Drosophila melanogaster: one gene and its partners. The protein of the gene in region 1 purifies or fractionates together with the protein of each later gene. This does not show direct contact. Each region holds a gene or a part of one and is shown in the gene's direction. Other genes may lie near its edges. The genes, in order: vret, fs(1)Yb and armi.

The links.
Region 2: the proteins of vret (region 1) and fs(1)Yb purify together in Drosophila melanogaster (affinity purification with western blotting, with the first as the bait; 2 studies listed by BioGRID). This does not show direct contact.
Region 3: the proteins of vret (region 1) and armi purify together in Drosophila melanogaster (affinity purification with western blotting; 3 studies listed by BioGRID). This does not show direct contact.

The regions. Positions count from the first base shown.
Region 1 is NT_033777.3:22,743,538-22,747,287, reverse strand, and holds the start of vret (vreteno), read left to right. Parts: upstream 1-1,706; 5' UTR 1,707-1,763; coding exon 1,764-2,074; intron 2,075-2,137; coding exon 2,138-2,548; intron 2,549-2,613; coding exon 2,614-3,430; intron 3,431-3,492; coding exon 3,493-3,677; intron 3,678-3,733; coding exon 3,734-3,750. Other genes in the region: CG17141 (uncharacterized protein), read left to right, coding at 16-788; HP1c (heterochromatin protein 1c), read right to left, coding at 858-1,571. UniProt on the Drosophila melanogaster protein: Gonad-specific protein essential for germline development to repress transposable elements and preventing their mobilization, which is essential for the germline integrity.
Region 2 is NC_004354.4:2,718,695-2,722,444, forward strand, and holds the start of fs(1)Yb (female sterile (1) Yb), read left to right. Parts: upstream 1-1,773; 5' UTR 1,774-1,873; coding exon 1,874-2,155; intron 2,156-2,214; coding exon 2,215-3,750. Other genes in the region: CG2701 (uncharacterized protein), read right to left, coding at 1-56, 119-397, 471-1,073, 1,133-1,293, 1,365-1,481.
Region 3 is NT_037436.4:3,459,385-3,463,134, forward strand, and holds the start of armi (armitage), read left to right. Parts: upstream 1-1,932; 5' UTR 1,933-2,078; intron 2,079-2,156; 5' UTR 2,157-2,190; coding exon of another isoform or gene 2,191-2,286; intron 2,287-2,719; exon of another isoform or gene 2,720-2,736; coding exon of another isoform or gene 2,737-2,919; 5' UTR 2,920-2,956; coding exon 2,957-3,400; intron 3,401-3,477; coding exon 3,478-3,750. Other genes in the region: eIF5B (eukaryotic translation initiation factor 5B), read right to left, coding at 1-714, 788-858; CG46463 (uncharacterized protein), read left to right, coding at 2,191-2,286, 2,737-2,919. UniProt on the Drosophila melanogaster protein: Probable RNA helicase required for axial polarization of the oocyte during early and mid oogenesis. Plays a central role in RNA interference (RNAi) process, a process that mediates mRNA destruction of translational repression.

The DNA.
Region 1 (3,750 bases):
ACTCATATTCCCCAGGAAGTGGTGTTAAACCGCATATTCTGGTGCTGAACAAAGTCGATCTGCTGGGCGCCAAACAGCAGAAGAGCGTGCTCCAGCAGCTGAGGAGACAGCAGCCCGAACTGCAGCACATCCTGTTCACCAACTGCAAGGATCAGCGCAACAACGGCGTGCTGGACATCCTGCCCCTGGCAACGCGCCTCGTGAGCGAGAGCAGTCGCTTCAATCGCACCCAAGCTGCCGAGCACAATCTGATGATCATCGGCGTGCCCAATGTGGGCAAGAGTTCCGTGATCAATGTGCTGCGAAATGTGCATCTCAAGAAGAAGAGCGCCGCACGCGTGGGTGCCGAGGCGGGTATAACTCGATCCGTCGGCGAACGCATCAAAATCCAAGAGAATCCGCCTGTTTACATGATCGACACACCCGGCATCCTCCAGCCCTCCATTAAGGATGATGAAATGGGCATGAAACTGGCCCTGGTGGGCTGCCTTCCCGATCATATTGTGGGCGAGGATCTGATAGCCGACTATCTGCTGTACTGGCTGAATAGCCACCGCAAATACGACTACGTGGAGATGCTAAAGCTCAGCTCCGGACCCAGTGACGACATCAGCGCCGTGCTGGCGGAGTACGCTCATCGGGAGGAGCTATTCCACAAGGTCAAGCAGTACGACGGACGCGTGGAGGTGATGACAAATTTATTGGCGGCCGCGCGAAAGTTCATTCACTTCTTTCGCTCCGGCCAGTTGGGTCACATGAATCTGGACGAACCCAGTGGTTTCAGATAGCTATACATATGTATGAATTAAACTTAGGGGCTTAGATTAAAGACTGAACAGTCGATTCTGCTCGCGTCCTTATTGATTTTCCGCCATGGGCACATCGATGGCAATGTCGCCAACGCCGGGCACGGGAATCGAGTACGAAACACTAGCCAAATCGTCGGTATCATTGGCTAGATCCATGGGTGCATGGTGCTGCGGCGCCTGGTCCACCTGTGGCGCGATTCCACCAAGATGTCCAGCCAACTCAGCGGACTGATCCACCTCCGGCGGCACTTCGACGGGCGCACTGCTAATGTGCGGATAACTGGTGCGCGAGGCCGCCAAACGCAGCTCCTCCGGCACGCCCTTCATTCGCATCGCAATGTGACGGGAGTAAGGTGCCATCTTCTGGAAATAGTCAATCAGCATTTGCGGATCCTTCTCCACGATCTGTGCCGATGGCACCAAGTCGAACTCGTCGCAGAACTGCCAGCGCACCAGATACTTGATGTCGCCCGTCACATCCGTTGCGCCCACGATCTCGGCCAGCTCCAAGCCGCGCTCGTAGCCGCGCAGCTTCTGGATCTCTTCGCACTTGGGTTTCTTCTCGCCGCGCTTCTTGGACTTGGCGCGCGACTCCTCGAATTTCTGGATGAGATTCGGGCAATCGCAGTTCTCCTCGGGCTCCCAGGTGTTGTCCGCCGACGTGTAGCCACGCCACTTGATGTAGTACTCAACCTTGCCTTCGCTGGTAATGCGCTTGTCCATGATGCGCTCCACCACGAAGTTGGGCTCGTTTTTAACCATTTTTTATTGTGTTTTTACAAGATTGTTTACAATATTTAAAATCGGCTTGGTTTTTTTCACTAGTGCCAGTGTGACCGTTTGCTGACTTCAACAACAGTTACAATAGCAACATACTTCTGACAGCATAGAAAACGGTCACACTCGCACGCGCTTGCAATTCGAATTCAGGTGAAATTTTAAAGCTCAGGTGCAATGGAATCCGAATCCTCGCAGGATGATTGGTCCGCATTCGATCCAATGTCCAGGGAATACTATGACCAAGTGGGCAACCGTTACACTAACGAGTCTGGCCAGAAACTAATCATGGAAGCCCCGCTGCCGCCAAAGGACGAAAAGGAGCAACGTGCCACCAGGCAGGCGAAGTATCCATACTTGGTGGTTCCAAAAAGCAGTCCCTATGTGACCGAAAAGATGCTAATCAACTTCTTCGGTCGGGCGCTCATCAAGGAGATGGAGTTCCGCCGCTTGTCACGCGTATACTTTGTCTACTTTGAAAATATCGCGTGAGTTTCTTCAAGCACTTTCGCAGGTCATTCAATATTTCGAGCGTATAATCCTTTTTCCAGATCCCTGGAGACAGCGCAACAGCGGGTGCAGCGTTACCCGAACCTGATCAAGTGCATCACTGGTCGCCCGCAAAAGGAGCGGGAAATCACCAGCGATCCGGTGACTTCCACTGAGCCAATGCCAACACCAGGCCCAGCAATTTCGGCCACTGAACGTACGCCAGTGAATCACAACAGAGAGGTTCCGATCTCGACCGGAGGACAAAATCATCCGGAGTTCTTCCGGCCACCGCTGGTCACCAAAGATGATTACAAAAGAGGTTCATTGTTGGCCACCAACGACCCCATTCAACGCTATCTCAATGTAAAGTACGAATTCGCACTGGAGCGCCATGATATCTACAAGCTTAAGGATGAGACCAGAATCCCGCAGGTCGTTCTGCACTTTCGTTCGGGCAGAACGATTCCTTTGTTAGTATAGCCACCTGGTCACGTGCCCTTGATTAGCTAACGAGTATAGTTTCTGCATCACTCAGGTCAACGGTTGCTGTCACCGAAGAGGATAAAACTAAAAGCCTGCTGGAAGACGGCGTCAGCAAGTGCGTGGTTTGTCAAAACTGGACAGACACTTTCTGCAAGCTGTGCAAAATGCCCTTCTGCAATGCCTCCTGTTTCGCCGATGTGGCAGAGCAGCATAAGCAAGCTTGCGGCAAGGGTGAGATACTTAACCTTGACGAAAAGGTGGGCCGGAAGTACCCCAAACCCGGCTTGCCGCCGTCTGGATCTAAAGTGAGAATTACTGCATTCGAGCAGACTAACGTGGTCTATGTGCGCTCGGCGGACATTCAGATTGACATCGCCTATTATACAGTTCTCACGGAGGTAATGATGCTGGGCAAAGATGCCTCCAAACTGCAGAGTACGCCAGTCTGCGGACAAATTGTGCTCTACAAGTTCGAGGGACATATGTCGCGCGCCATGGTGCTAAACGTGGATAATATCAAGGAAATCTATGTAGTGTTCATTGATTTCGGAAGTGTTGAAGTCACGCAGCTGGAAAGACTGTATGAATGCAGTTCGTATTTAGCTGGTTTGACCTGCTATCCCGTAGCCGTTAAATTACGCGGAGTTCCCAGGCGCTTTGTGGGTCCCAACATAAGGGAAGTCATGTACGAACTCGACCAGTCCCTAGTTTTTAATATCAAGTACTCGTCACGTGAGTACGATACCAGCAAGGGCATGCAGGTCGTGGTGATGACCGAGATCGATATTAATAGGAGCCTCAACCGCCTTTTCAAGACCATCCTAACTCCTGTTGAGCCGTCTGTCTCGGACTTGGGATACAAAGAGGACGTAAGCCAGAACTTAAAAAAACATCAAGTACACAGTTGTCATTTGCATTTATTCGGTTTCAGTGTCTTCCATACATTCCCTTGCACTGCGGAAAGAACATAAATGTAGTGGTAATGGACAACACATTCATCCAGTGCGGCTTTATCTACTGCACCTCCATAGATCTGGCTTACGAAGTCACCAAAATGCAGCGAGACATACAGGAGTATGGTGAAAAGATTGCCAAGTGCGCAACCTACGCACCGCCGTAAAGTTACTCGCCGTTTTCTTTTGTCCATTTAACTAAAGCGCTCTTTCATTTAGGATAAATGAGCTTTGCA
Region 2 (3,750 bases), on another chromosome or scaffold:
AGCTGGCCAGTGCCTTCTGATAACCGGACACCACGAAGTCCACCTCGTAGTTCTTGCTAGCGATGCAGAGATTGCGAATAAGAATAACATTGGCCACTAAGCAAGGCAGACAACTCACATATTTGGGCAACGTTGGATCAGCAGCTTCATGTCGTGCTCCAGCGGAAACTGCCGCTGGTAGTCCACAACGAAGTTCTGGGCGGAAAGGCACTCCTGCATCACTTCCACCAGCTGCTGTCCCCGTCCCGACTCCATCTGCAGGCTGACCACGCGACGAACGATGAAGATATATTGCTGGCGCGTCTCATTTAGCCAGCGCAGCGAACTCGCACCCGGGTTCACCAAGTAGATGTTCTTGTACAACATGGGCACAGTCATGTCATAGAAATTGGCAATGCTGCGAATACGAAAGGGAAGGCAATAGAATCACACAGACCACGGATGCTGATGATGATGATGATGATAATAACCTTGGGGCCAAACGCAGCTGTTCGATGGTTTCCAATAGCTGGGGACAGAGGAGCAGCAGCAGGCGCAGCGTGTATGCGCAGTCCATGGCGAAGAGCACCACATCGTCGTAGGGCGTCTCCAAGTCGACGTCCAGAGACGCCCCGCCGCCAGCACCTTCGCAGCCCTCGTTCTCCACCTGGATCTGCATGCTGAGGAAAGCGCTCTCGTAGAAGATCAGCGCCTCCTTCAGATCCTTTTGGTACTCCGGCTGCACTTCCAGCACCTTGTCGAAGATCTGGCGCAACAGTTCCACGTTCTCCGGCTCCGCATCGCCAACAGCGATGAGCAGATCAAAGAGCAGTGGCACAGAGATCAGGTAGTTGCTGTACAGCAGGCTGCCGTGTTGCTTCGGGCTAATCCACTCCGAGTCCGATTCCTTACCGGTGCACAGTCGCATTATCAGACGCACGACGAGATCGAGCAGCTGTCCGTACAGCAGATGGGCCTGGTCCAACTCCTTGTCCCGGCTGACATCTGTCTGTCTGTAGTAGGGATTAGCGCGCTGCAGGAATGTGACAACGGCCGCCATGGCCGATTCATCGTACACCATGTAGGACCAGAATCTGGCGGGGATCAAGTGTTAATGTCTTCGGTATACTGAGCGCAACACGATGTAGCTTACTCGTGCTGCGTCAGGCTCAGCAGGAACTCCATGTCCCCACGGAAATTGTTCGCCGCGAAGGTCCATTCCTCCAGTGCAGCTCCGGATTTTAGGCGTCCATAGGAGCTCAACATGCACAAATAGCTGGCAAAGGGCTTCTCGCGCTGCACCCAGTGCTCGTCCTGTCCACAAAAAAAAAAAACACATATGCATAGTACTATCTCGCCGGAGGTGCACCAACATGTCCACTTACCAGCGCCGGAACGTTCCTGCGCACCCCATCCTTGCCGGAAAGTGCAAACTTGAGTTCGTCCAGTGGCAGATTCTGTGGGTTGCAGTTGTTGTTGTTGCTGGTGTCGTTGTCCAGCATGTCGGCCCCCCCTTTGGCTGGCAACACTCTCGAATTGTTGCTAGGGTATTTCTTCAATAACAAAATTCAATAAAACTAGCGAATTTCGTGCGATGCAAGGTGGCAGCACATTGATAAGGTGGCGCACGCAGGCTCAGCTTGTAATGTCATAAGGTGCGTGAACAAGAGTTGCCAGACGATCAGAGTGGTTCGATGATTATCGATATTGAGTAGTAATCGAACTTGAAGCTTAAGTGTCGAAAGAATTCAGTTGGTTTAAAATTTTCAAACCAAAAGGAGTTTCTCTCTGCTCAAGTGGAAGGCGATAAAAAAGCCATTAGTACGCGATTTGTTTATTTACTTGGCAAAGCGCTGCACGTGACCTTGCTAGCCGTACATATATTAGGCGCAGCATGGAGCCAATTGGAGATCTGCAAGTGCCCAGCTTCAAGGTGGTGTCCGGGGGAACCACCTTCACGTACGCCAGTCCGAAATCCGGAGCAGCCTCCCTCGACTTTCTCGCGCACACCCTGCGGAAAAGGGAGGCGAACACAGAAAAAACTATTCTGATATGTCAGCAGAATTTCGAGGCCGAGCGTCTGAAATTTGAGCTCGCCGAGCGGGATGTCAACACTATTCTCCTGCCCCCGCATGGGGCAATGGTCGGTCAAGTGCTGCTCCTCTGGTCCAAGGGGGTGAGTTTGAATCGGATCACTAACATTACATCAGCGGAGGTTATTTATCCTCTTTCCAGTACATCAACCAAGCTCTAATTCTCTGCGATGGCATGCTCGAGCATCTTGGAGTAGTCGAGGCGAACCTGGTGATCCACACAACGCTGCCGGAACTGAACAAGTTCGAGGAGCGTTTGAAGTGGCTGAGCATATCGGCGAGAAACGCCGAGATGTTGGTCATAACTCCGTGCGACGAAGAGAATGAAAAAGAAGGCAAGGGAGAGACCGAACCGGAGATCGTCCAGCAAAGAATGCCACTCAAAGTAGATGCCCTAAATTCCATGCAGCTTTATGAAATAAAGGAGAATACGCCGCCGACATCATCGGAGGATTACAAGGCGGAGGCGGATGTCCTGCTAAGTGCTGCAACTCCAGCGACAATCCCAAACGACAATAAGGAGCAAGAGATAAATTTAAGCGTGGAGGATGCTACAGTAAAGCTCCTGGCTTCTTTTGAGTTGGGCAGCACTGATTCGGCGGCAGTGGACGAATCCTCTCCAGCTGCTGCTAAGTTCAATGCTCCTGTCTACTCTCCTTTCGTTACTGAAAATCCAACGAAGTCTTTGGACGCCGAGTTTCAAGAGCTCGTAAAGTCGTTTAAGGTGCAAAACGTATTCAAAAACATGAACTTGCCGCCTCCTCCCTCTGTTAGCATTGAAGAACCGGTGTCCAGTGCCTCCGCTTCTGATTATCGACATCAGATCGACACCACTTCGCTGGATTCCATTCGAACTGTGAAGGATTCACCTGCCTCTCTAGCAGTGGTTCCCTTTTCTGCAGGGGGAATAACTTACAACAACTATGGCGTTCTCGGCTGGAGTCGCCACGCGGTCGTGCCGTGCTACGGTTTGACCGAAGCGCCGGACATAAGCACCATCATCAGGCGGGCCATGCAGCAGATGGGTGTGGCTAGGTCGCGAGCGCGGGCGGTCCAGAGATTCGCCTGGCCACATGTCTCGTTGGGTAAATCCGTTTTAGTTGTGGGCAACTTACAGATCGGGAAGACGTGGTCCTACCTGCCCACCGTGTGCCAGCGCAGCCACGAGGATCTGCAGCGACGGCCAGATGTTGGCCGTGGACCTACCTGCATCTTTGTGTGTCCCAACCAGGGGCAGGGCAAACAGATCGAACGCTGGATGAGCACGTTGCTCTGTTTGCTGGGCAGTGCGTCGGGGTTTGAGGATGTCGTTACCCACTGGGACAAGACCCAATTGGTGGACATCGTTCGCCGGCTCAAAAAGCCCGTTGGAATCCTGCTAACCAGCGTGGACTTGTTGCTCCAACTGCTGAACCATAACCCGGTCGGGAGCATTTTCGATGCCCAGGCGGTGAAGTGCATAGCCTTGGATAACCTGAACGACATGGTTCGTGTCCTGCCAAACGACACGATGAAGCTGCTGCAACGATTGCCCGAAATGTTCCAGCTCACCCAAAATAAGTGCCAACTGCTCGTCTCCGGCCGCATTTGGCACACCGATCTAATGGTGCAGCACATTCTGCCTCTGATGCCCGACGTCCTCGTTCTCTTCGACGACGCCTTGGAGGCGAGTGTCTAT
Region 3 (3,750 bases), on another chromosome or scaffold:
TGGACTTCTTCCGTAGCCACAGGCTCGGGTTCTGGCGCAGGTTTCTCCACGGGCTTCGGTTTGGGTTCAGTAGCTGCCTTTTGCTTGGCTAGGGCAGCCTCCCTCTTTTGGCGCTCCTTCTTTTCCTTCTTTTTCTGGGCTGCCGACTTCACAGTGCTGCCGCCCTCCTCGTCATCGCTGGCCTCATCCTCTCCGGCGTTTTCTGCCACTGCAGCCTGCTTGGCCTGCTTCTTGTTCTTTTTTTTCTTGGAGAACTCATCGGCCAATTCTTCGGGGGAAACAACAGTAGTGGCAGCAGGAGCAGCCTCGCCGGCGTATTCCGCTTGAAGCTCAGCTAAAACCTTGTCCAGATCTTCATCGTCGTCGTCCTTCCCCTTGCGTTTGGCCTTTTTGCCCTTCTTTTCGTTCTTCTGTGGCTTGGAGACCACTACCTTTTCCTCCTTCTCAGACTGGCTTTCCTGGGCAGCTGGCTCGTCCTGCTCGTCGTCGTCCATTAGCAGCTCAAAAGCCGACTTCTTAGAAGCTTTGCCCTTGGCGGGCACCACCTCCTCCTCATCGGAGTCGTCATTTTTGCCTGCTTTGCCTTTTCCCTTGACATTAAGCTTCTTGACCCCCTTGGTCACGGCTTTAACATCGTCATCGCCAGCTTGATTGCCCTTCAGGGCATGATTCTGCTTGTTGTTGAGGCTCAACTGGTCGCTGTCCACATCGGAGCTGTAAGATTGAATAATTTGCGATAGAAAGTTTGCCAAGTTGGCAGGTGGGCATGAACTTGCACAAGACTCACATTTCGTCCACCGAGGAACCGCCTTCGACCTTGGTCAGTATCTCTTTCTTGCCCTTTTTAGCTTTAACCATCTTCCCGTTTGCGACTGCAACACGCTCCTCCTCTGGCCGAAAACAAAAAGCCGTGGGTTATTCACCGCTGAAAGATACGCACACGCGACGCCTCGGCAGCCAAGAAAAAGAGGAGGACTGTCCACTGGGTTCTCCTGGTGCTGGTGATCTTCTGATGGTGACTCCGCTTCGGTGGCTCCAGCGACGACGTCCTGCTCCGGAATTGTGCAATCGACGGCTAGATCTGACACGGCGCTTTGCCAATTTTTGGTTTTATTTAGCCGAGGAAATTCTGCACACAAGCACGTTGTCGAGTAGTACGGTGCGGGAGGGTTGGACAGGCAGTGTGACCGTGCGAGTGGATTGCTGAAAATCACAATGGCTGAGCTAAGGTTATCGATTATACCCTGTAATATCCAGTTGAGCGGGGTATTTTTGTTTTGAGTCTATAGTTGTACATAAAGATATATTAAATATATATACACCTTTTTCAATAGAATCGCGGCCTCGGCGCTGGCGTGCGCTGTTTACGGGAACCATTTATCGCCTCTGGTGCTCAGTTTCTTACTCATCAGACATAGGGCAGTTGGTTTTATTGGTTTTCCTAATTGGTAAATTATTTCAACTGCGAAAAGTATTGAACATACTCTTAAATAATATCGATCACTAGGGTATTTATGGAGAAAGAAACCATCTATGGACTTTTTTACACATATACTCGAAAAACTTTCCGGATTGCGGAAAGATATTTGGCATATTTTGGAATTTGATTGCTTATTTCTTAAATGTAAGTGACAGATAACTAACAGGTACTCTTGAAAAAAAGATAAAAGAATAAGAACAAGTTCTTCGTGTGTATTATTTTTGTGAGGAGGTAAATTCCAAAAACAAAAACTTAAATGTGGACTGCCGATATTTTATATACTTTCTTGAGTTCTTTACTTTACATTTTTGTTTCATTTTATTTTTGAGAACTTTTTTTAAATAAGGAAAATATAAATACATAAGCAACTTCCTCACGTTTCATATTCCACCGCTTTAATTTGACACACTTTAAGAAAATACCACAGCCAAGGATATTTTCTACGCCGCTAAGTCCGGTCACACTTAAAAGTTCGCCAAGACGCTTTGTGCTCAAAATTTTGCTCGAGAGTTTTTTCGAATACTATGACTATTTCCCATTGAACTCTTAAAACTCAAAGTGCAGTGCATCTACTAATTCAACAGCGTTAAGAATATTTGTAAGTACGAGTACAAATAGCAAATCCGGCTGTGCATTTGCAAAAAGCCGGTAAGGAACTCACATATTTGGTCCACAGCTTGATAACCAAGGTAAATCCGCGTGATTGGACAATGTCCAGCGAAGCATCCGGAAGTATAACCATCAAAGAAGAAGCATCTACAAGCGGTACGGCCACCAATATTCCCGTTGAATCCAGTGAAACAGAGGTATGAGTTTGTTGTTGTTGCCATCCTTGTTTTGGCGTGGTAGAAGGAGACGAAAGCAGTGCAGGAGTAACTGTTGCTGTCGCTTTTCTTGAGACTTTCGTTTGCTTTTTCTCCATTCAAACTGTTGCTTTTTTGCAGTTATTTTAACAGCCTAGACTAAAAAACAAATCACTATTGAATTCAAGAACCCTAACACAAAGTTTTTAATTTTCCGTTACAAAACATACAGAAAATGTATACAAATGTTAATTTTTTTATTTTATATATGCTCTTATAAATACATTTAAATTTATAAATAAATATTCTCTAAATATTTCAAAAATTGTCCGTAGAAGTAAAACAACAAAATGTTGTTAAATGAAAATTGTAGGATATTTAAGCCTTCGGTGTCATAGAAGGTAACATTGTATGTTCTCAAATGTTTACAATACAGATGGTCCACATTTCCAGGCTAAGAAACCCGAGATCGGAGCTGACAAGGCGGAATCGCAGAGCGAAACCACCGAGGGCGGGAAGGCGGCGGAGACGACGGAGAACCACTTGAAGCGTCTGCAGAATCTGCGCAAGGAATTGAGCTATCTCAGCGAAACCGACTGGATGTACGAGAGTCTCGACAAGAAAGCAGCGCAGTAGGAACGGCAGAGCATTTATCGGCGAAACATTTTCAAAAATGTTCACATACGTTAGCAAGTTTTTCACGAACCCGGATCGTAACCGGGAGGATATTCTGGAAAGTTTGGATCGGGAGAATAGCTTTTTAGACCAAAAACTAATGGAGGAGAAGATGGATCAACAGCTTAAGGCGAATCCAAACGAAATTAATGGGGTTTTAAGTAACAAGATCGCTGAGCTTACGCATGGACTTTCGGAAATGGACGTGAGTAAAGAAAGTTCCTGCACCGCCAGAAAGGGAGTGATCACCAGTCTAGACGGCGATCGGGGAGTCATCGACAAAGACGTTTTATTCGAAACGAAGGTGGCAGAGGATATCATCTTGGATCTACACGTCGGATGTGTAGTGGAATATTTGACTTTTACAACGGGGGAAGCCATGCGGGTGGTCAAGGTGAAGAGTATCCTTGAGCATTCCTGGGAGGACACAAGCCAAAAGGAGGTAAGCTCATCGGTATTAGATTTATTAGCCATTTGTTAAAGCCAATGCTTAATATCTGTAATCCTAACTTCTATTAGATTGAAAAAGCTGTAGACAACCTGAAGAACGAAAAGCCGACATTCTTTAACACCGAAACAAGGAGCGTTTTGGGTCTGATTAGCCAGCGTCTGGCATCTTCCATAGACGTCGAAACGGAATACGGACAGCTGACCGTCGAGCTAGACAATATCGAGATGAACTTCATCCCAACGAATGGAGATCGAGTGCGCCTAGAGTGCAACATTCAGCTGGATGACGGTTTCGTGGACAAACAGGGAGAAATCCTAGAGGTGACAAAGTTGTTTCCCACC